6 linked regions of the Callithrix jacchus genome follow. The protein of the gene in region 1 interacts with the protein of each later gene in a pairwise test. Links are inferred from orthologs where the notes say so. Each region holds a gene or a part of one and is shown in the gene's direction. Other genes may lie near its edges.

What was found.
Region 2: the proteins of MED4 (region 1) and KIFC3 interact in binary tests that used the Homo sapiens proteins (3 or more experiments, as listed by UniProt). The two-hybrid records come from large-scale screens. The link is inferred for Callithrix jacchus from reciprocal best matches to the Homo sapiens genes MED4 and KIFC3.
Region 3: the proteins of MED4 (region 1) and AMOT interact in binary tests that used the Homo sapiens proteins (3 or more experiments, as listed by UniProt). The two-hybrid records come from large-scale screens. The link is inferred for Callithrix jacchus from reciprocal best matches to the Homo sapiens genes MED4 and AMOT.
Region 4: the proteins of MED4 (region 1) and TNFAIP8 interact in binary tests that used the Homo sapiens proteins (3 or more experiments, as listed by UniProt). The two-hybrid records come from large-scale screens. The link is inferred for Callithrix jacchus from reciprocal best matches to the Homo sapiens genes MED4 and TNFAIP8.
Region 5: the proteins of MED4 (region 1) and USHBP1 interact in binary tests that used the Homo sapiens proteins (3 or more experiments, as listed by UniProt). The two-hybrid records come from large-scale screens. The link is inferred for Callithrix jacchus from reciprocal best matches to the Homo sapiens genes MED4 and USHBP1.
Region 6: the proteins of MED4 (region 1) and TXLNA interact in binary tests that used the Homo sapiens proteins (3 or more experiments, as listed by UniProt). The two-hybrid records come from large-scale screens. The link is inferred for Callithrix jacchus from reciprocal best matches to the Homo sapiens genes MED4 and TXLNA.

The regions. Positions count from the first base shown.
Region 1 is NC_133502.1:67,854,617-67,858,116, forward strand, and holds part of MED4 (mediator of RNA polymerase II transcription subunit 4), read left to right. Parts: intron 1-1,641; coding exon 1,642-1,699; intron 1,700-3,156; coding exon 3,157-3,243; intron 3,244-3,500. UniProt on the Homo sapiens protein: Component of the Mediator complex, a coactivator involved in the regulated transcription of nearly all RNA polymerase II-dependent genes.
Region 2 is NC_133521.1:15,646,606-15,650,105, reverse strand, and holds part of KIFC3 (kinesin-like protein KIFC3), read left to right. Parts: intron 1-935; coding exon 936-1,066; intron 1,067-1,524; coding exon 1,525-1,648; intron 1,649-1,889; coding exon 1,890-2,019; intron 2,020-2,103; coding exon 2,104-2,333; intron 2,334-2,669; coding exon 2,670-2,804; intron 2,805-3,259; coding exon 3,260-3,368; coding exon of another isoform or gene 3,369-3,484; exon of another isoform or gene 3,485-3,500. UniProt on the Homo sapiens protein: Minus-end microtubule-dependent motor protein. Involved in apically targeted transport. Required for zonula adherens maintenance.
Region 3 is NC_133524.1:109,163,941-109,168,089, reverse strand, and holds the start of AMOT (angiomotin), read left to right. Parts: upstream 1-1,349; 5' UTR 1,350-1,730; intron 1,731-2,829; exon of another isoform or gene 2,830-2,958; intron 2,959-4,149.
Region 4 is NC_133503.1:90,197,064-90,200,563, reverse strand, and holds part of TNFAIP8 (tumor necrosis factor alpha-induced protein 8), read left to right. Parts: intron 1-3,380; coding exon 3,381-3,500. UniProt on the Homo sapiens protein: Acts as a negative mediator of apoptosis and may play a role in tumor progression.
Region 5 is NC_133523.1:15,865,003-15,869,137, reverse strand, and holds the start of USHBP1 (harmonin-binding protein USHBP1), read left to right. Parts: upstream 1-1,335; 5' UTR 1,336-1,410; intron 1,411-1,731; 5' UTR 1,732-1,779; coding exon 1,780-1,833; intron 1,834-1,927; coding exon 1,928-2,076; intron 2,077-4,135.
Region 6 is NC_133508.1:68,792,915-68,796,414, forward strand, and holds part of TXLNA (alpha-taxilin), read left to right. Parts: intron 1-908; coding exon 909-1,079; intron 1,080-3,500. UniProt on the Homo sapiens protein: May be involved in intracellular vesicle traffic and potentially in calcium-dependent exocytosis in neuroendocrine cells.

The DNA.
Region 1 (3,500 bases):
TCACTTGAGGTCAGGAGTTTGATACTAGCTTGGCCAACATGGTGAAATCCATCTCTACTAAAAATACAAAATAATTAGCTGGGCATGGTGGCTCACGCCTATAATCCCAGCTACTCAGGAGGCTGAGGCAGGATAATCTCTTGAACCTGGGAGGCGGAGGTTTCGATGAACCAGGATTGTGCCACTACACCCCAGTCTGGGTGACAGAGTGCGACTCTGTCTCAAAATATATATATATTTATACATTTAATAATATATATATTAAAATGTTTTTCCTTATGAAAGTAATACTTGCTCATCAAAAGAAATTTAGAAAATACGGAATAATGGAAAGAGGAGGGGAAACAATTGCCTTTAGTTCAGCTGCTTAAAGAATGCCACTATTCATAGTTTGGTCTATTTCCTTTGAGTTGCTGGTGTATTCATTTTTTAGCTTATTGTAGTTAAGGATACTAACAGATTTTCAGTTACTGTTTATTGAAACTTAAGCATTTTTCATATAATAGTATCTGCTTTGTTTAATTTTCCAACTTTGTGTTATAAAGAAAGAATTAAAGACAGTGAACACAGGATCATAAAATTGAATTTCATGATTTAAATTGTAGTAACGAACATTGATTGAGCGCTTAGGCACCAGGCCCTGTGTCTTGCATTTTATATGCTTTACTTCCATCTTCATAATAGTTTATGTAAAGTCAGTGTTGTTATTTAGAGGAAGAAACCAAGACTTTAATAACTAACTTGCCCATGAAGGCTAAAACGTAGATTGAATTTAAACCTTGATCTCTCTGACACCATACTCTTTTTTTTGAGACAGAGTCTTGCTCTGTTGCCCAGGCTGGAGTACAATGGCACATTCTTGGCTCACTGCAACCTCTGCCCTCTGGGTTCAAGCAGTTCTTCTGCCTCAGACTCCTGAGTAGTTGAGAGTACAGGTGTGTGCCACCACACCTGGCTAATTTTTTTTTTTGGATTTTTAGTAGAGCTGTTTTACCTGTTGGTCAGGCTGGTCTTGAACTCCTGACCTCAAATGATCTGCCTGCCTCAGTTTCCCAAACTGCTGTGATTACAGGTGTGAGCCATTGTGCCTGGCCTGACTCCATACCCTTAACCATTGTGTCATAGTCGAGGATATGCATACACTAGGTTAACTTCATTTTGTCCTTTAGTGTATGTACCTGGGGGGTTAGAGGGGGTGTTTTTGTGATAAAGTCATTAAACATTGAGGTGACATTTAAATGAATAAGAATATGAATCCAAGGTTGTATCTTCCAAACTAGGGGTAAAAAAGGTATTTTATTCTTGAACTAGTTGCAAGAATAGGATGCTTTTGGGGTCTTGCATGGTCTGGATGTCTTCTGTATGTTTATGAAGACATGAAGAAAAAGTAAACAATTTATATTTTGTTTCTACAGCTAATTTGTGAATGGGAGACTAGTTCATAAATTAATAGTTCTTTCATTATATATGACTGAAATAAATAATGTCAAGTGATATTATAGAACATTACAAATAAATTGTGGGAATTTCCAAGTTTTGAAGACTGTTCTTAGGGGATAAATGATCTTGTGAATTAAGCCAAAAACTATGTTTGATATAGTTAAGAATAAAACACATTTTTTTAAATGTTGTTTCAATTAGGCAACAGCTGTTTACCAAGCAAAGGAGAAACTCAAGTCAATAGAAAAAGCAAGAAAAGGTTAGTATTATGGGAAGATGGAATTACCTGAAAAGTTAAGGTTCTAGTTTCAAGAAACCAATACGAGAGGATATAACTGATAATCATTTGCTGCTGTTGAAAAAAATTGAATAAATTTTTCTTGTAAAGTGTGTTATGTTCTCGTATTGTGGTAGGTGTTGTGAGGGAGGTAGAAATATGACATCCTTTTTTAGATTATAAAAAGCAGTTAATACAAGGCAGTTTTTTGCTGTGGGCCGGAATGTGCCGTAAAAACAGTAAGTTTATAAAATTGGTGGGACAGGGGAAGAGAAATATGGGCTGTAAGTGGGATTTGTACCAGATCTTGAAGGCTAGGGCAGAGAGTGAAAGGACATCCATTGGACAACTGAGCTGGGACTGAAACATCATGAAGTCAGAGCCAGTTACAACCTTGGCATGTAAGTACATTTAGTGGTGCAGAGGCCCACAAGCCTTCCTGCGCTACTGTCCCTCTGTCAAAGGCTCCTGTTACGGATCTCACTTGACCTGTTAGTTTGTCGTACTAAAGGTCAGAATTGTAATTACAACTTTGGTTACTTGCCTTTAATGACTTGTAGATATGGTTTTACATTTAGTCATCTCAGATTTATTGTCTAACTTTCCTCTTTTTAGGGAGCCCATGTTTTGATTGTTACATGTGAAAAATAGCTAATATTCTCTTAAGAGTTAAGTTAGGCTTCTGTAGCAAGAAACAAATCTCTAGGAGAGATGACTGAGGCTGGCTATTGAATTCTAAATCATAGTTTGATTTTGTTTTTAATCTTCAAAAATTTTACACACATACACTTTGTTACTTTGAAACAGTATCTAAAATTTGTAAAATAAAAAGTGTGGTGTTCTCACTTCTCGGTGGTAACTACTATTAATGTTTGGTATATGTCCTTCTAGATTTTTCTTCTAGATCTGTGAGTATGTATGTAGTAAAAATACAAATACACATATTTACATATATTTTAAACAGTCAGGTAATACCATACATATTATTTAGCCATATAGTTTTTTTTTTACCTAATGAAGACATTGTAGACATCTTTCTACTCAGGTCTGTTTAAGAGCCTCACGGCATATTAATCAAACAGTGGTGTGAACTGTCTGCTCTGATTTCATAGCTTGGATGTCATTTCAAAGTGAAACGCTGTTTTCTCTTTTATTTGTGCTTACTGTTGCTTTCAGAAGAGTAATAGTATTTTGAGATTATTGAGTGCTGTCATGCTAATCTCCCAGAACTGTTTATGTCAGCTGATTTTTCTGCATTAGTATCTTGTTTTTGGAGATTTAAGTTTATACTAAATATGTAGGTATTGTTAAGGAAGGCGGGTGACTGAGATTATTTTATTTTCAGATAATTTAAAAGTAAATATGATGTGTAACTGATATACATACTTCTAAACTTGTATGTTAGATTACAGGTTATACTATCCTCTTAACTCTTTCAGGTGCTATTTCCTCTGAAGAAATAATTAAGTATGCACATAGGATCAGTGCAAGTAATGCTGTATGTGCTCCCCTAACCTGGGTTCCAGGTAAACATACTTCTCTTTTATGCTAGATATATGTGGTTTTGAAAATTCTTAGGTGACTGTGTACAGAAATAGATTTAATATAGAATGTATTTATGCTTTGAAATCTCTGCTACATATTTTCACATTTTTAATGGTTTGTAAGTAATGATAGAGGCCATGGGTTTTATAAATTTGGTTTCCTACAAAGCCATTGTTGCTAGGCACTGCGTTTCTTTCCTCTTTTGAAATAATAAATTGATGATTTTTTTTAAAGTACA
Region 2 (3,500 bases), on another chromosome or scaffold:
CTGAGGCCTGAAGTGTACCAGGCACTGTGCCAGGCATGGCTGTGACCCAAACAGTCCCTGGCCCCACAGGACCAACCTGGCTATGGGGAGACAGCAGGGTCCACACAAATCAGTGAGTGTCCCGTCAGGCCATGGAGAAAAATAAAACCAGGGATGTGGAACTGACAAGGGGAAGGGACGGGGTGTTTGGGGGTGCTGGACGAAGGAACAGCCTCCCTGAGGGGGCATCTTGGGAGCAGCCTCCCTGAGGGAGATGACTGAGCTGGCCGAGGGGCAAACAGGAGCACCTGGGGCAGAGGGAGCTGCAGGGCCAAGGCCAAGAGGCCAGAGCACACCAGCCGCACCTGAGGCTTGGCCAGGAGGCCCCTGCGGCAGGAATAGAGAGAGGGTGGGAGGTGCTGTCGGAGGAGGGGCGAGGGTCCAACTCCCAGGGCCTTGAGGGCCCAGGTGGGGACTCCAGGTTTCCTTCTAGAAAGGCCAGCCCACCCCTCCTGCCCCAGGACCCTGTCCTGCTCCACCTGTGCCTCCTTTCCATCACCCACAGAACCCAGGTCACAGCCTCCCTGAGACTCAGCCCCTTTCTGGGCAGAGGCGGGATCATTCATTTCTAGTGCCCCTTCTAGGTGGCCCTGCAGGGCCAGGCATGCACCTGTCCCTCAGCTGTCTGTGTGGTCTGGCCAGGTCCCTCACCCCAGCGCTGTACCCTAAGTCTCAGGGCAGTCCTGGCAGGGTGATGCCATTTTAATGTCGGGGAAATAGAGGCACAATAGCCTGCAGCTGGCAGAGGGCATTTTGGGGGGCACTGGCTTGTAGGTAGGAGGTTTGGGCAAGGAGACTTGCCTGTGAGGGATAGCCAAAGGGCTTGGGGGACAGATGCCACACAAGCATCTTTGGGGACAGGCCTGGCTCACTGGGGCCTTTCCTTCTGCCCCCAGGGGACCCCAGAGAACCCAGGTATCAACCAGCGGGCCCTGCAGCTGCTCTTCTCCGAGGTGCAGGAGAAGGCATCCGACTGGGAGTACACCATCACTGTCAGCGCCGCCGAGATCTACAACGAGGTCCTCAGGTAGGAGCCCCAGTGTGAGGGGAGTAGGCCTCAGGGGCAGCTTTGGGGTCCTCAGGTGGGGTGGTGCTGGAGTAACGGGAGATAGGAAGTGGGGTCTTCCTGAAGGGAGTGCAGGGACCAGATGAGGCTGCCAAGGGACCTAGCTGCAAGTTGTGACTCTCCTCCCTGTGGGCTGCAGCAGGTGGCCATGGGTGGGAGTGGGCAGCTGCAGGCCCTGCCCGCAGGGGCTCATTGCATTTCGGAGGCAGGAGTAGCGCCATCCACAGGCCTTCTGGGCAACAGTGAGGTCTCCACATGTTCAGCTGAGTTATGGGGGAGGAGCTGGAGGATATGCGCTTAGCTGATGGCTGAAGAAGGCTTTGTAGGTTGGGGGAACACTCCTGACTGGGGCTCTGGGTGCAGTACAAGCAGCAGCCAGAAATGGGAGGAGGGGGTGACTGTCTCACCTGCCCCTCCAGGGACCTGCTGGGGAAAGAGCCTCAGGAAAAACTGGAGATCCGGCTGTGCCCAGACGGCAGTGGGCAGCTGTATGTGCCAGGGCTGACTGAGTTCCAGGTGCAGAGCGTGGACGACATCAACAAGGTGTGGAGGAGCGGGCCCCTGGCCACAGCCACGCTGCTCTAGAGGGAAGACCTGGATTTGAATGTAGGCTCTGCTGTGTCCTAAGCATGCACCCTCGGGCAAGTGCCCATGCCCCTCTGAGCCTGTTTCCTCGTCTAAACTGCGGGGGTGGGGGTGTCACTCCTCTGGGGTGCTCGGGGCCAGGTGACTGAGGACCACATTCTCAGCGCCGTGCCTCACCCTCCCACTCCCCATCCCCCAGGTGTTTGAGTTTGGCCACACCAACCGCACAACGGAGTTCACCAACCTGAATGAGCACAGCTCCCGCTCGCACGCGCTGCTCATCGTGACGGTGCGAGGCGTGGACTGCAGCACAGGCCTCCGTACCACGGGTGAGGGGGCGGGCAGCCTGGCCTGAGGAGCCCCATGCCCCCAGGGACAGGGCAGGTCTGATCTGCTTGGTGCCTTCCCTGCAGGGAAGTTGAACCTAGTGGACTTGGCTGGGTCCGAGCGTGTGGGCAAGTCCGGAGCCGAAGGCAGCCGTCTGCGGGAGGCGCAGCACATCAACAAGTCACTGTCAGCTCTGGGGGACGTCATTGCTGCCCTGCGCTCCCGCCAGGGCCATGTGCCCTTCCGCAACTCCAAGCTCACTTACCTGCTGCAGGATTCGCTTAGTGGTGACAGCAAGACCCTCATGGTGGTACAGGTGAGGGCCTTGGGTTAGAAGGGAGCAGTCCCTGGCGTGTAGGTACTTAGCTAGCAGCAAGACCCAGGCACCCCAGGCTGTGAAGGACCCTTGTCTCAGCAGCTCCAGAGTCAGCAACAGCCCCCCTGCCCCAGACCTGGCCACACACACCTGGTGTAACTCCCAGTCCCTCCTCTCCACCTTTGACCACGCCACCTCTGCCACCTTGCCTGCCCTCCTACCCTGTCCCTCGGTCCTCTCCAGGAGGCCTTCTGACGTCTCCAGCTGTGAGCTCCCTTGTGACCCTGCTGCCCCTCCAGCTGGCCCAGGTGGGCAGTGAGCTCTTGTGTCCTCTAGGTGTCCCCAGTGGAGAAGAACACCAGTGAGACACTCTATTCCCTCAAGTTTGCTGAGCGGGTGCGCTCTGTGGAGCTGGGGCCCGGGCTACGCAGGGCAGAGCTTGGGTCCTGGTCAAGCCAGGAGCATCTAGAGGTACGGGGACTGCCAGAGACCTGGCTCAGGTAGCCCTGGGTCAGAGACTTTGGATCATGGCAGGAGCAGGGAGCTGGGCGGAAACATCCCAGAGCAGCAGGGTGGGGCGGGGTGAAGCTGCCGGAGGTGGGTGGAGCTACAGCTGGAACCCACAGCCAGAAGCCTCTTCAGTGCAGGTATTTATTCTTGGCCTCCAGGGCTCCTGTGGGGTGACCAGCTGGCCATGGGCGTGGCACTAGGTGCTAAGTGGTAACTAGTTGACTTCTTTACATGTACTATCTCATTTAATTCTTGACATAACATGAGGCTGGGGCACGAGCATCCTGCCCATTTTGCAGATGAGGAAGCTGAGTGTTCGGAGGTTAGGAGGCAGGGCAGGGGAGGAGAGAGCAGCACAGCGGGGTGCGGGCCAGGGCAGCTGTGGCCCCCACCTACCCTCCCTTCCCTGTCCACAGTGGGAGCCGGCTAGTCAGATACCACAGCCCTCGGCACGGGCCCACTCAGCCCCCAGCTCCGGGACCAGTAGCCGCCCTGGCTCCATCCGGAGGAAGCTGCAGCCCTCGGGTGAGTCTGGAGGGAGTAGCAGGGTGGGAGGGGGAGTCTCCCCCAGGATTATAGTCACCAGGCTGCCTTTACCTGATGGGCTTTTTTTTTCCTTTCCTTTTAAAAAAGTTCTATGACTTTTCCAGAATCTGT
Region 3 (4,149 bases), on another chromosome or scaffold:
TAGAAAAATTAAGGCTGAGAAGTTAAGCCACCTAACATTAGTCATACAATTAGCTAGTAAGTGCCAGAGCCCCAAATGAATTCTTCTTTTGGTTCTCAATTCTATGTTATTTTGCTACCCCTACACTGTTTCTTTGTGCCTTCGTTTTCCCAGATGTAAAATGGTAGATTTTCCGTGTCCCAGTATACTGTTCTCAACCCTCTGTTTTTAACCAATATCAGTTTTTTTCTTCCACAGCCAGGAAATGTGAACGCCACACTGGCACTTCATGTACTTTTCCCCCTCCGGATTTAATGAATTAAGGGGAAAGAAAAGTTACCTATTCGTGGAGGGCTGGACAGTGCTATAAACATAAAGGCGTACCAGAGTCGGCCGACACACTGCTGCACTCTTTTATGAGACTGAGAAAGCGTCTCATCTTTCTCTTCCCAGCGGTAGCTGGGGTAGAACATAGAGCTACACAATAGCCTCTTGTTTAGTTTTATTAATTTTGAGGACTGGTGGGACAAAAGGATCAGACTGGCGACTCCCGGGCCCAATCGCAAACGTATACTAGGCCAGGCCCGGCCAACCAGTAGCGGCAAAAGAATGGTGGGCGGGACTTACGCTTCAGGGGCCCGCTCCGCCCAGGCCGCATCTAACAGCCCGCCCAGGGGCGGAGCCTCTGCAGAGCCCCGCCCACGACCCCCTCCTCCCTCGCCCCGCAGCTTCTGCAGCCCGCCATCGGGAGGCGGGGGAAACTCCCGGGGTGGGGGAGCGGAGGAAGAAAGGAGGGTGTCTCGCAGAGCTGTGACCTGGGTGGGGGCCTGCTAGTAATAGGAAGCGAGAGGGGAAGGAAAACGAAGGAGCACTGCTCCTTCCTTCATTATTTTAAGCAGGCTTTGGTGGAAGCTGCTTTTCAGCATTTCTATTATTTGCTTTTCTTCCTCCCGCTGTGGGGCGGAGAGCTGCACTGGCTCTCCCACGCGAGTATGCCGCGCTGTTGCCGTAGGTTATTATTGTAGTCTTTTGCAAAACCCTTTCCTTCTCCCCAGCCAGTCCCCGCGCAGACTCTCACGGCTACGGCAACCGAGTCGTGCCCCTCTAGTGGAAAGGCGAGAGCGAGGGTCCCCAACTTTCGCCCGAGCTCTCGGACCCCGCGGTTTAATTGTTTGAAACTTCCCCGCCCCCCGGCCCCGCCTCTCTTCCGCGCTCTCCTCGCTCCTCACTTCCAGGGTCCAGGCAAGCTCCCGCCCTTCTTTCCCCGCCCTCTACTCCGCCTTCCTCCCCAGTCCACCCGCCCTGCCGCTCCGGGGCGGTCCTAGCCGCTCACCGCAAGAAGAAAAGCCACCCGTTCGTCCCCCTCCCCTACCTCCCATCCTTTGCCCAGGAGCTGCCTTGGCAGTCACGCCCCTTCCTTCCGAGGAGCTTTCTGGCTGCCTAAACTGGTAGACCCCCTGAATTACTCCTCCGTCTCCGCTCTCTTTCGCCTCCTCTTCTCTTAGTTCTCTCCGCCTCCCCCTCCAACTACCACCACCTCCAGTCAATCTCGCCTCCGACCATCCGCTGCTCCACCCTCTGGCCCGGTATCCTGCCTGTCCACTGCCACCAAGGAGAGCCCGGACGGAGCAGCGAAGAGGGGAGCAGCCAGGAGTTGGGGCTTCCCCCCTGCCCATCCCTGGCCGCTGGCCCGGGACCGAAGCCACTTGAGCGAGCAGAGAGTCGTCACCTTGTCTTCGTTGCCTTCAGGGGTAGGAGACGTGTGGTTACTTTTTGCGGGGAACTGGGGCAGGAATCCATGGTGGCATGAACTTGGTCGTGCCCTCGGCGTGAGTGAATCGATCTAGGCGCGTGTGAGAATGCCCGTGTATTCTGCTGTCTTTGCAGCTGGCCATGAGTTTTTCAGGATGTGCAGCAAGTTAAATCGGTTAGAGTGTGCGCTGCTTTCCCGTCCTGCTTAAGTGAGGAGATGCTAGTGGGTACCACTACTAGATGGTATTTTTACTTCCTTGCCTCCTGGGGTTCTTCTGGGTCTCTAGGAAATTAATCACATTGAGGAGCTAAAGACCCGAGGGAAGCTGAAATCTACTTTTAGCCTAGCATGCAAGTCAGTGCTTATCTCAGATAACTAGATAGGTTTCTCCTAAGTGCTTAGGCTTGGGGTGTGGACTCACACTCCCTGAGGCGGGAGAAGGAGGGGTAGGACCGTGAATTCTTGAAGTTTTAAAGTCTGCGTAATCTAAAACATAAGGCTACTTTTTGAAATGTGTGGTGGTGGTGGTGCTTGTGGTGGTGGTGATAGTGGTCATGAGGAGGGAATTGCCCCTATCTACTTTAGAAGATCCAAAGATGTTAGTAAATAGTTTTGGGGGATCAGGCAGGTGTCTTGAGGGTCCAAGCCTGGGCCACTGTACGTTGGTGCTTCAACAGTAAGATGGACTTCGTGGATATGTGAAAATCAAGAGAAAGAAAAGTGGGAGTAAAAATACGCCTTTATAATAGACTATGAGCAGTTCCTGGTAAATTTCCACTAATAATAATATAATAATGTTCATAAAGTGACTAAATAAGATTAAATGAGCAAGGAAAGAGGAAGTTGGTGAGAAACAGCATTTTCAATCTCTAGCGTATGTTTTAGAAAGAATTTTTCAACAACCTAGGATGTTTAGTTCAGTTCTCCTCCCTCCGTGGAAGTTGGGAGGCAGTTTAAAACTTTTATGAATATAACCCTCTTCTCCCATTCAGAGAGGAAGATAATTAGTCACCATAATCTTCAATGATGAAGGGCTAAGGGTATTTAAGTCTCCTTGAGCTAGGCTTTGTGAAAAGTTCTTTCTCAGGCCAGCCTTTGTGAAGCCTTCTCAGACCTTTCAGCACCCTCATTTAGTAGCTAAGAATAGTTTGAAATGCCATTTTGGATGTGGGATACATTTTCATCCATCTCCCACCTATCTTCAATTGGACAAGTGCATCAAACTTGTAAGTCGTGGTGTTCAAAGACTTATTTCTGTGATGTCCTGAACTCATTGCTTATTTGGGAACACATTATTTACATACATTTAAAAATAGCTTTGGTTGATTTTAATGAGGGAAAGGAAGGTAGGAAGGTAGAGAAGGAACGTTACATGGCGACAGTTTTAAAGGCTATCCTGTTTCAGATCAGCTGGGAGGGAAAAGCTGGCCTAGCCAAACTACATTTTATAACTGGCCTGGGACACTTTAACAGCCAGGTGGTTGTAGAATAGTTGCATCTATTTACAGATGATAACTCAGGTTCCAGCTATTCTGTATGGGTTTATCCGGTGTCATCGACAGACACTTTCTGGCACGACATCATACTTCATTTTAAATTACTTCTTTCTTTGGAAAAGTTTGTGGCTTTGTAAAATTGAAAGTGTTTTTTTCTACCTTCATGGTGTAGATGTGAAGTAAACCTCGTTGTATGTGGAGTCACTTTTACATGAAATTTGTGGATCTGTTTAGCTATTTAAAAGATTTTAGAAAGGGAATTTTAATAATTAATAGTCAATTCAATTTTGGATTTAGAAATTAAAATCTCATTTCCAGTTTATGAAGTTGGATTTATTAGACTAATTCCCAACTAGGACATTTGTAGAGTTGCTTTCTCTGAGGTTTTGTAAAGACCACATCAGACTCTAGAATGCTTTAAGAATAGCCTAATCAGAAGGCAGGGGGATGGATACTATGACCTTGAGGTCCCATTGAGTGCCAGAATTCTAAGTGGGTACATCTGCTTCTGTGCCTCTCCTAAGAGCCCTCTCCCAGGGCCTGCGCCTTCTTTAAAAGGGTGTCTTTGTAATTAAGCAGCCCTTCTTCCCCATCCCCCTTTCTTCCTTTGATCCAGCTTTTTAAGGCCTTTTTTCCATTTGGAGACAAGAGGAGTTTCTCACACTTTCCTGTTCCCCTCTTAACGTTTCTTGTCCTTTACCTCAGAAAAGTCCCCTGAGGTTCTCAAGATGGTTAGAAGTTTTGTTTTGTTTGGGGCGTGGGGGTGGAGTGGGGGAGTTGTTACCAGTGAGGAGGAATAGAGGATATATTCCCGCTTGGGAAATGCTTGCGACCAGGTAGCCTCCTCCATGGAGACTGAGCATTTGGAATGCATGAGAACAGTCTATTCTTGGGGACTGTCTGGTAGAAATTGTCCTTTGC
Region 4 (3,500 bases), on another chromosome or scaffold:
ACTAGCTCTAAGATACAACAGACCTTTAAGGGATCTGGTGGAGTATGTGGAAGTGACAAATGAGCCTGAACAGGAATGGCTAACAGCAGTTAATTTGCAAGAAAAAGAAACACACTTCATGAGCACAGACCACACATCCCTGGCCAGTGACTCTCAGCCACAGGTCCCGGTTGGCTCCAGAAAAGCTTTCTCTAATGCTGGAAAATAAATCTACTCATGCATGTTCTTGGTGGAGGAGGAGAAGAGCTTCAGATGGTGGAGGGGGACAAAGAGCTTCAACCTCACTTAAAAAGGTGACTTCACTGGAATAATACAAAGGATAAAAGGAAAGTGTGACAGAGCTGCTGTGTTTCTGGAGCAGGATTTGAAGTTTCTCTAAGACAAATATGAAAGCCTCAGAGATCAACTTCTCTATCTTGATTCATACATGATTACCAGTAAATGGGGAATGATCTTGCTTAGTTGGCAATAGATATGCCTTTTACACACTCTCTTGCAGGAATTTGAAGTGCTATATCATAGAGGTTTTGTTTTCCATATTTGAAGTTAAATGAGACATTGAGATTTAATCAGAAACTTAGCTGAGAAGAGGTGCAAACTTGAAAGTCCAGCCTTGGATAAAGGAGAAATAGTATGAATACCTCTCCCTCTGTTTTCAGTATTTCACAACATAAAGTATGTCCAACTGATAGACTTGTAGTAAATCCCAGGTAAGATATTTGTAGACTATGCCATGTTCTTAAACATTAAAAACACAGTAACATTTCGACTTTATATGGAATATATTACTGAAATCCTAGTTATTTGCTGTGCAGCTGAAATTGATTGGGTATCCCTATATAAATCAAGTTTGTTGAATTTTTTTTTTGAGGTCTGTGTCAGGAGTTCTGAGATGAAAGATGGTCCCTGGTTTTAATATGATAAGTTAGCTACATGTGTACTATTTCTTTTGACATAAATTCTTTAGTGTGACTTAATCTTTAAACTCTTTTGCAAGTCGTTGAAGAACAGGAATAGAAACGGACTTCTGCTTAAATGATAAAAACATAAAAGGGCCTGGAAACTTCTGCATGAAGTTGGCTGTTTCTCACACATTTTCACTTTCCTTCTCTTTTTCAAAATATATTTTAGTTCTGCAGTTTCAGTTCATGTTTCAGAAGTTTAAATATCGACATTTGTGAAGACACCCTTTCTCATTTAACTGAGACATTCTTTTAGAGGATGTCTGGCACTGTACATTTATAAATGACACTCGGGTCATAAGGAACCCTTTTGAGCTACCTATACTATATACCATGAACTACTTTGGTCCAAATTTTTCAAACTTAATTTGGTTCTTCTTTTCCTCAATTTTATTTAATTCAATTTTTTCTGAGACAGGGTCTCACCCTGTTGCCCAGGCTAGAGTGCAGTGGTGTAGTCACGGGTCGCTGCAGCCTGAACTTTCCAGGCTCAGATGATTCTCCCACCTACACCTCCCTAGTAACTGGGACGACAGGTGCATGCCACCACAGTTGGCTAATTTTTGTGTGTGTGTGTGTGTAGTTTTTTTGTCACGATGGGGTTTTGCTATGTTGCCCATGCTGGTCTCAAACTCCTGGGCATAAGCGATCCTCTCACTACCTTGGCCTGCCAAAGTGCTGGGATTGTAGGTGTGAGCCACCACACCTCACCTTTCCCCAATGTTAAATCCAACATGGCAGTTCCGCATTAAGGGAGTCACTCTTCTTATATGTCCTCCCAGCCTGGATTTTGAAGCAGCTGCCTTTTTGCTTCCTAATGATACTAGCCTATCCAAACTAGAAATAATCTTATATTATCATTGATGCCTTGACCTATTTGTGTATATCTGTATTTTAAAGCTTTTTATCTTTCATTACAAAATGACTGCTTTCCAACACCCAGGCCTAGGCTTAAACACTGGCATATATGGAGAGAACAGTTGTCCCTTGACTCAGAGATGGAGTAGACACCCAAAGAACTGCAGTTCTTAAGCCTTTGGAGAAGCAGGAGAGAGCACAGTTGTAGAGGATTAGCTTAAAGATTGCTGCATGGGGCAGACACAGTGGCTCATACCTGTAATCCCAGCACTTTGGAAGGCTGAGGTGGGCAGATCACCCAAGGTCAGGAGTTCGAGACCAGCCTGGCCAACATGGTGAAACCTCATCTCTACTAAAAATACAAAATTAGCAGGGCATGGTGGTACACACCTGAAATCCCAGCTACTCGGGAGGCTGAGGCAAGCGAACCCAGGAGGCGGAGGTTGCAGTGAGCCAAGGTTGTGCCATTGGACTCCAGCCTGGGGGAACAAGAGCAAAACTCTATCTCAAAAAAGAAGAAAGCAAAAAAGATTGCTACATGCATAGAGTGGGGGAAATTGTGGTAGATAAAATGTAAACTTGGTTTGGAGAATACACATTTATTGAGCATTTTCACTAACCAGCTCTAGGCTAGGAAGATTATAAATAGTGTCTCTTTTATATGATACGTACAAACATGATTGTGTATATTGTAAAGATCTGTCAGAAGTTACGATAATTCCAAAAGCAAACTCTTAGCAACATCTTTTTCAAAGTATATTTCTCATGTGTCACATTTCACTAGCTGATGAAAAAGGTTATTTCTCCAAAACATATAAAAATGTAAAGTGAACAATGACCATTCATCAGAAATAGTAAGTGACAGTGAGCTCTCCAAGGAGTACTTCTTTCTAACAGTCAAATTCTGTAGGTTGAAACTCAAGGTGGTTAGGACAAATAGGTGGGCGTTGGTCAATGCTTAAGAAATTTGACTTTTTGCAACTGCATTATAAAACAGGGCTCTCCTTTTGATTTGCTTCCATGAATTTGCCATTTTATTCAATATTATGCCTTTACCATTTATTCTTCCATTTAAATGAATTCCTTTTAAGTCACTTCTGGTTGCTGTTGCCAGATGACAGGTGTAGAGCTGATTTTGTATTTGTTTTTTGTTCTGAGACAGTAGTGTCGCTGTGTCACCCAAGCTAAAGTGCCGTGGAGCAAACTCAGCTCACTGCAACCTCCACCTCCTGGGTTCAAGCAATTCTTCTGCCTCAGCCTCCCAAGTAGCTGGGATTATAGGCATGTACCACTGCTCCCATGTTGGCCAGGCTGGTCTCAAACTTCTGACCTCAAGTGATCCGCCCAGCTCAGCCTCCCAAAATGTTGGGATTACTGGCGTGAGCCACTGTGCCCAGCCTAAAATTCTTTTCTGAACAGAGACTAATGTCAATGGATGAAAGACAAATCACAAATGGTGGGAAAACGAGGAAAAACAGTACTCCCTAATATGTGTTTTTAGTTCACTTCTCTTGCTGATGTTTGCTGATTGTTAATTCTTTTCCTCTCCTTTTTTTTTAGTGGCCACAGATGTCTTTAATTCCAAAAACCTGGCTGTTCAGGCACAAAAGAAGATCTTGGGTAAAATGGTGTCCAAATCCATTGCCACCACCTTAATAGATGACACGAGCAGTGAGGTGC
Region 5 (4,135 bases), on another chromosome or scaffold:
TGCTCTCTTTAAAATAGCCAATCGGGATTTAGTTAGCTTGCACGGTCTAACCCTAGCCAAGAGCGGAACGACACAGCAGTAGGGGCGACCCCCATCAGGCACAGGCACCCTTTCTCCCCTTGTCCAAGTGTGCGGCCACCATTGCTCCATCCGTGAGCCACACCCTTCTGTAGACGTAAACTGCCTTGCTGGGAGACTATTTCTTTTCTTTTCTTTTTTTTTTTTTTTGAGACGAAGTTTCGCTCTTGTTACCCAGGCTGGAGTGCAATGGCGCCATCTCGGCTCACCACAACCTCCGCCCCCTGGGTTCAGGCAATTCTCCTGCCTCAGCCTCCTGAGTAGCTGGGATTACAGGCACGCGCCACCATGCCCAGCTAATTTTTTGTATTTTTAGTAGAGACGGGGTTTCACCATGTTGACCAGGATGGTCTCGATCTCTTGACCTCGTGATCCACCCGCTTCGGCCTCCCAAAGTGCTGGGATTACAGGCTTGAGCCACCGCGCCCAGCCTTTTTACCCAGACTGGAGTGAAGTGGCGTGACCACGGCTCACTGCAGCCTCCGCCTCCAGGTGTTAAGCCATCCTCCTGCCTCAGCCTCCCAAATAGCTGGAACTACAGGCTATTACTGCACGCCACTACTCCTGGCAAATTTTTGTAATTTTTGTAGAGACAGGGGTCTCGCCATGTTGCTGAAGCTGATCTCAAACACTTGGGCTCGAGTGATCGACCGCCTCAGCTTTCCAGAGTGCTGGGATTACAGGTGTGAGCCTTGGTGCTTGACCCACCCTAGCTCTTGAGAAATAAAATCCAAGAGTCAGAGGTGGGCCGGGCACAGTGGCTCACACCTGTAATCCCAGCACTTTGGGAGGCTGAGGTTGGCAGATCACCTGAGGTCAGGAGTTCGAGACCAGCCTGACCAACACAGAGGAACCGCCCCCCCTCTATTAAAAATACAAAATCAGCTGTGTGTGGTGGCGGGTGCCTGTAATTCCATTTACTTGGGAGGCTGAGGCAGGAGAATGGCTTGAACCTGGGAGGCAGAAGTGGCAGTGAGCCAAGATCACACCACTGTACTTCAGCCTGGGAGATAAAGCGAGACCCTGTCTCAAAAAAAAAAAAAAAAAAGAGAGAGATGGAAGGGCCATGGGCTTGGAGGCTGAGATGAGGGGGGCTGAAACCTTGGGAGTCAGGTGTGCGTGCCCCGCTAGGGCTGCAGGAAACCACTATCCTCAGAAAGGAAACAACACAATAACAAGTCATGTGACCAGGGGAGGGAGTTTCCTGTTTCCTGGCCCCTCCTAGGCCAAGCTTGGCCAGCCCAGGCCTGAACAGGCAGTGGCCAAAGTGACCCCAAGAGAGTATCCAGGGACTCAGGCCTCTGATCAAGTTAACCCCAGAGGATCAGAGAGGTAGAGAGAGCTGAACCCCTCATTTAGGAGGGCCTGGGGAAAAGAGGGAATTCTTGAGGTTTCCTTCTCAGGCACAAACAGAAGAGGGAAGGGGACAAAGAGGTAGTGAGGGTCAAGAAGGCAGAGAAGGGGGAGGTCAGGACAGCCTTGTTAGGTAGTGAGCTGCCTGTCCAGGGAGGCATTCAAATGTGCCCAATCAACCTTGATTCCAAAATCCCTTCTAGAGGGGTAGTCAATGCCCCATTTCACTGCAGAGGAAATTGAGGTTGTCCTTTGTCCTGGATGACGAAGGCAAGAGCTCACAGCAGGTTGTGGTTTTAGGGGGCGACGAAGGAGAAGCATTCAGAGGGCACTGGCTTCTGGACAGCAATGAGTGCCCGGGCCACGCGGCCCCGAAGCCGGCGAGGGAGGCATGTTCCACCCGTAAGTGTCCCCTCTCCCCTCCACACCCAGCTCCTTGGGATGCCAAGGTCCTGTCCTGCCTCGCTCAGAGCTGGGCCCCGGGGGTCCTTTGCAGGGTGAACTGGACCCTGTGGCTGAGAGTTCAGAGGAGGGTGAAGCAGCCGGTGGGAGCTCCAAGCCTAGCCTTACCCCACCTCTGGGGAGCTCTGGGCCAGAGCACCTGGGCCCCATTGAGGAGGTCAGTGGCCGAAGCCTAGAAAGCAGGTAAGACCCACTTGGTCTATGCCCTTCAGTCCAGTCCAGATGCATCTTTGGCCCCTACAGGTCTGGTGCACCTCCTCTGCTCACTCACTTGTCATGGCTCCCTACTGCCCTCAGCCTGACTGACTTTCTTTCCTTCTTTTTTTTTTTTTTTTGAGACGGAGTTTCGCTCTTGTCACCCAGGCTGGAGTGCAATGGTGCAATCTCGGCTCACTGCAACCTCCGCCTCCTGGGTTCAGGCAATTCTCCTGCCTCAGCCTCCTGAGTAGCTGGGATTACAGGCACGCGCCACTATGCCCAGCTAATTTTTTGTATTTGGAGCCACCACGCCCGGCTTATTTCTTTTTCTTTTATTTCTTTCTCCTTCCTTCCTTTTTTCCTTCCTCTTTCTTTCCTTCTTTTTTCTTTCTTTTCTTTCTTTCTTTGTCTTATTTCTTTCCTTCTTTCTTCCTCCTTCCTTCCTTTCTTTCCTTCTTTTTTCTTTCTTTCTCTTTTTCTCTCTTTGTCTCTTTCTCTCTTTCTGTGTTTTTGAGTCATGCTCTGTTGCCCAGGCTGCAGTGCAGTTGTGCGATCTCCGCTCACAGCAACCTCTGCCTTCCGAGTTCAGCTTCCCGAGTACCTGGGATTACAGGCATGCGCCACCACGCAGGCTAAATAAAGACAGGGTCTCACTGTGTTGGCCAGGCTGGCCTTGAACTTCTGATCTCAAGTGATCTGCTCACTTGGGCCTCCAAAAGTGTCGGGATTACAAGTGTGAGCTGCCGCCCCAAAAGACCCCATTTCCAGAACCTTCTGTCTCTCACCCCCAGGCCTTCCCCAGTGCCTGTCACACTCCAGTTTACTCTGCACTCTCCGTCTCAGGCCCAGGTCTCCCCCCGCAGTTCCTCCACCCCTCTATCCAGCCTCTTCCCTGAATTCCCAGCCCCCCAGTCTCACCCTGGGATGCCAGTCCCAGAACACACAGCTCTTGCCAACTCTCTGCCCCGCTCACACCTTCCCAAGACCATGAAGTCTAAGCCCCCAGAATTCCCTGCCCAGGGCCACTCACGGTGGCTCACGCCTGTAATCCCAGCACTTTGGGAGGCCAAGTCACGCGGATCACCTGAGGTCAGGAGTTTGAGACCTGGCCAACGTGGAGAAACCCCGTCTCTACTAGAAATACAAAAATTAGCCGGGCATGGTCGTGGGTGCCCGTAATCCCAGCTACTCTGGAGGCTGAGGCAGTAGAGTCGCTTGAACCCAAGAGGCGGAGGTTGCAGTGAGCTGAGATCGCGCCACTGCACTCCAGGCTGGGCAACAGAGTGAGACTCCATCTTAAAAAAAAAATAATTCAGGCTGGGCATGGTGGCTCACGCCTATAATCCCAGCACTTTGGGAGGCTGAGGCGGGTAGATCACGAGGTCAAGAGATCGAGACCATCCTGGTCAACAAGGTGAAACCCCGTCTCTACTAAAAATACAAAAATCAGCTGGGCATGGTGGTGCGCCCCTGTAGTCCCAGCTACTTGGGAGGCTGAGGCAGGAGCATTGCTTGAACCCAGAAGGCGGAGGTTTCGGTGAGCCGAGATCGTGCCATTGCACTCCAGCCTGGGTAACAACAGCGAAACTCCGTCTCAAAAAAAAAAAAAAAAAAAGACAATCCTGGTCAACATGGTGAAACCCTGTCTCTACTAAAAATATAAAAAATTAGCTGGGCATGGTGGTGCGTGCCTGTAATCCCAGCTACTCAGGAGGCTGAGGCAGGAGAATTGCCTGAACCCAGGAGGCGGAGGTTGCAGTGAACCAAGATTGCGCCACTGCCTGGGTAACAAGAGCAAAACTCCATCTCAAAAATAATAATAATAATAATTATTATTATTATTATTATTCGTGGCCAGTCATGGTGGCTCATGCTTGAAATTGCAGCGCTTTGGGAGGCCATGGTGGGCAGATCACTAGATCAGGTGTTCAAGACCAGCCTGACCAACATGGTGAAACCCTGTCTCAACTACAAATATAAAAATTAGTTGGGCATGGTGGTGGGCGCCTGTAATCCCAGCTACTCAGAAAGCTGAGGCAGGAGA
Region 6 (3,500 bases), on another chromosome or scaffold:
AAATATATATATATATTTTTTTTCTTTTCCTCCTAGCTTAATTTTAGTTATATATATAACTAAAGTTAATTTCACCGTTTCTTTTTACTTTTTTATTGTGGCCAGTAGACTATTTTTAATTACTTACATGGTTTAATTATATTTCTGCTGTACAGGCCTGGATTCTACTAAAAATACAAAAATTAGCCAAGTGTGCTGGTGCATGCCTATAATCCAGCTACTCAGGTGGCTGAGGCATGAGAATCCCTTGCACCCAGGAAGCTGAGGTTGCAGTGAGCTGAGATTGCACCACTGCATTACAGCATGGGCAACAGAGTGAAACACTGTCTTAAAAAAAAGTAGTGGCCAGGAGGGTTCATGGAAGTGGGGGAAAAGGACTGGGTTTGTGGAAGAGGTGAAGAACTGTGAGGCCAGGGAGTCAGAAGGATTGTCTGTTGATACCGAAGTGGCCACAAATGAGAAAAGTAATTATGTTGGGAAAGGCGCTGGTGCTAACCCAGTGCTAACGTTTTGAAGGAATGAGAGGGAGCAATGGGGGTCTGTTAATGGGCACAAGGTAGAGTAGCAGGTGGTCTCATTCTTGGGCATGAGTGTTCAGCAAATTGGGGAAATGCAACAGCCTGAAGTGGCTCTAGTGGCCCAGAGTCAGAGCTGTAATAGGAATTGGCACTTGCTGGCTGTGTGGCCCCTGCTTGCCCTTCTCTCTCCCTACGGTTGACCCTTTGGGGTTATTGTGAGCAGTTCATGGGAGAAGTATATAAGTGCCAGCACAGCATCAGCCCATGACAGCACTCATGGCCTGAGAGGGTGCAGGGCAGAGCAGCTCAGGAGACCCTAGACCCCCGTAGTGATCCCCACCAGGAAGGCCCCACATGATGCTCACCTGCCCTCCTTATCCCTGTCCCCAGCTGGAGGAGCACCGGAACTCACAGAAGCAGATGAAGCTCCTGCAGAAAAAGCAGAGCCAGCTGGTACAAGAGAAGGACCACCTGCGTGGTGAGCACAGCAAGGCTGTCCTGGCCCGTAGCAAGCTTGAGAGCCTGTGCCGTGAGCTGCAGCGGCACAACCGCTCCCTTAAGGTAGGTGCTGGGCACTCTTGAACAGGTGACTCTGGTTTCCTTGACTTCTGCCTCGTCTTTCTTTCGTGGGCTTTCCTCTTAAAAAGTAGTGCAGAGCGCGGTGGCTCAAGCCTGTAATCCCAGCTCTTTGGGAGGCTGAGGCGGGTGGATCACGAGGTCAAAAGATCGAGACCATCCTGGTCAACATGGTGAAACCCCATCTCTACTAAAAATACAAAAAAATTAGCTGGGCATGGTGGCTCGTGCCTGTAAGGAGGCATGGAGGCTGAGGCAGGAGAATTGCCTGAACCCAGGAGGCGGAGCTTGCGGTGAGCCGAGATCGTGCCATTGCACTCCAGCCTGGGTAACGAGCGAAACTCCATCTCAAAAAAAAAAAAGTAGTGCAGGCTAGGGCTGGGCTTAGTGGTCCATATAAGTAATTAAAAATCTGGCCACTCTAAAAAACTAAAAAGAAACGACTAAAACTAATTTTAGTAATATATTTATTTATACTATCCAAAACACTACAATTTTAACGTGGAATACTGTAAAAAAGCAAGGCTGGGCATGGCGACTCACACCTATAATCTCAACACCTTGGGAGGCCAAAGTCATGGATCACTTGAGGCCAGGAGTTTGAGACCAACCCGCCCAACATGGCACAACCCCATTCTACTAAAAATACAAAAATTAGCCAACTATGCTGGTGCATGCCTATAATCCAGCTACTCAGGTGGCTGAGGCACAAGAATCCCTTGCACCCAGGAAGCTGAGGTTGCAGTGAGCCGAGATTGCATCACTGCATTACAGCATGGGCAAGCAACAGAGTAAGACACTGTCTCAAAAGAAGTAGTGGCCAGGCACAGTGGCTTACACCTATAATCCCAGCACTTTGGGAGCCCAAGTCAGGCAGTTCGCAAAGTCAGGAGTTCGAAACCATCCTGGCCAATATGGTGAAACACTGTATCTACTAAAAATACAAAAATTAGCCGGGCATGGTGGTGGGGACCTGTAGTCCCAGCTACTTAGGAAGCTGAGGCAGGAGAATCACTTGAATCTGGGAGGTAGAGGTTGCAGTGAGCTGAGATTGCAGCCTGGGTGACAGAGCAAGACTCTGTCTCAAAATAAATACATAAATAAATAATTTTTAAAAATAGTGCAGGGTTGTGGCATAGAAATACAATTTCTCAATAATGCCTTATATTAGAGAGCACTACTTGTAACCATTTGAAATGTATTAGGTAAGGATAAAGTGCTAAGAGAATCCATAATTCACTGGCATCAATATTTCTCAATGAAAGGCAGTCCCCTAGTAAACGGAGGTCTGGCCCTGACAAGCAGCTCTTGTTCCAGAGGTTGGTCAGTCAGGAACCTGGGTCTTTCCAACGTTCTGCTGCCTTTATAGTGAGGGCAGTCTGTGGTCACAGGAAATTTACATACATTCTTCTAACTTTCCTTTTATTTTTTGTATTTTTTTTTTTTTTTTTTTTTGAGACTGAGTTTCACTATTGTCACCCAGACTGGAGTGCAATGGCATGATCTCGGCTAACCGCAACCTCTGCCTTCTGGGTTCAAGCAATTCTCCTGCCTCAGCCTCCCGAGTAGCTGGGACTACAGGCGTGCACCACCATGCCCAGCTAATTTTTGTATTTTTAGTAGAGACGGGGTTTTACCTTGTTGACCAGGATGGTCTTGATTTCTTGACCTTGTGATCTACCTGCCTCGGCCTCCCAAAGTGCTGGGATTATAGGCGTGAGCCACCGCGCCCGGCCCTAACTTTCCTTTTAATATGTAAAAATCTTACATGATTTTTTTTAGTTTCTAGCATGAAATTATACATGTACCATTTAATATCCTATTTTTTTTTCACTTTACATAGCGTATCCCTATCCGTTTGTGTGGAGCTATCTTCACTCTTTTTTTTTTTCTTTCTTTTTTTTTTTTTTTGAGACAGAGTCTTACTCTCGTCGTCCACACTGAAGTGCAATGGCATGGTCTTGGTTCACTGCAACCTCTGCCTCCTGGGTTCAGTGGATTCTCCTGTCTCAGCCCCCTGAGTAGCTGGGATTGCAGGCACCCGCCACCACACCCGGCTAATTTTTTTGTATTTTTAATAGAGACGGGGTTTCACCATGTTGGTCAGGCTGGCTTGACCTTCAGACCCTGTGATCTGCCCACTTTGGCCTCCCAAAGTACTGGAATTACAGGCGTGAGCCACTGTGTCCAGCCTTATCTTCACTCTTTTTAATAGCTTAACATCAGTATATGGATACATTATATTTCATCAGTGCCCTAGTTAAGACATTTTTGGGTTGTTCACCATTTTTCACTATTACATATAGAACTACAGTGAAAATTCTTGTTATATTTATTTATTGCTGGTCAGTTATATAGAACTTGCCTGTAGGATAAGTAATGGAAGTAAAATGGCTAGGTCAAAGT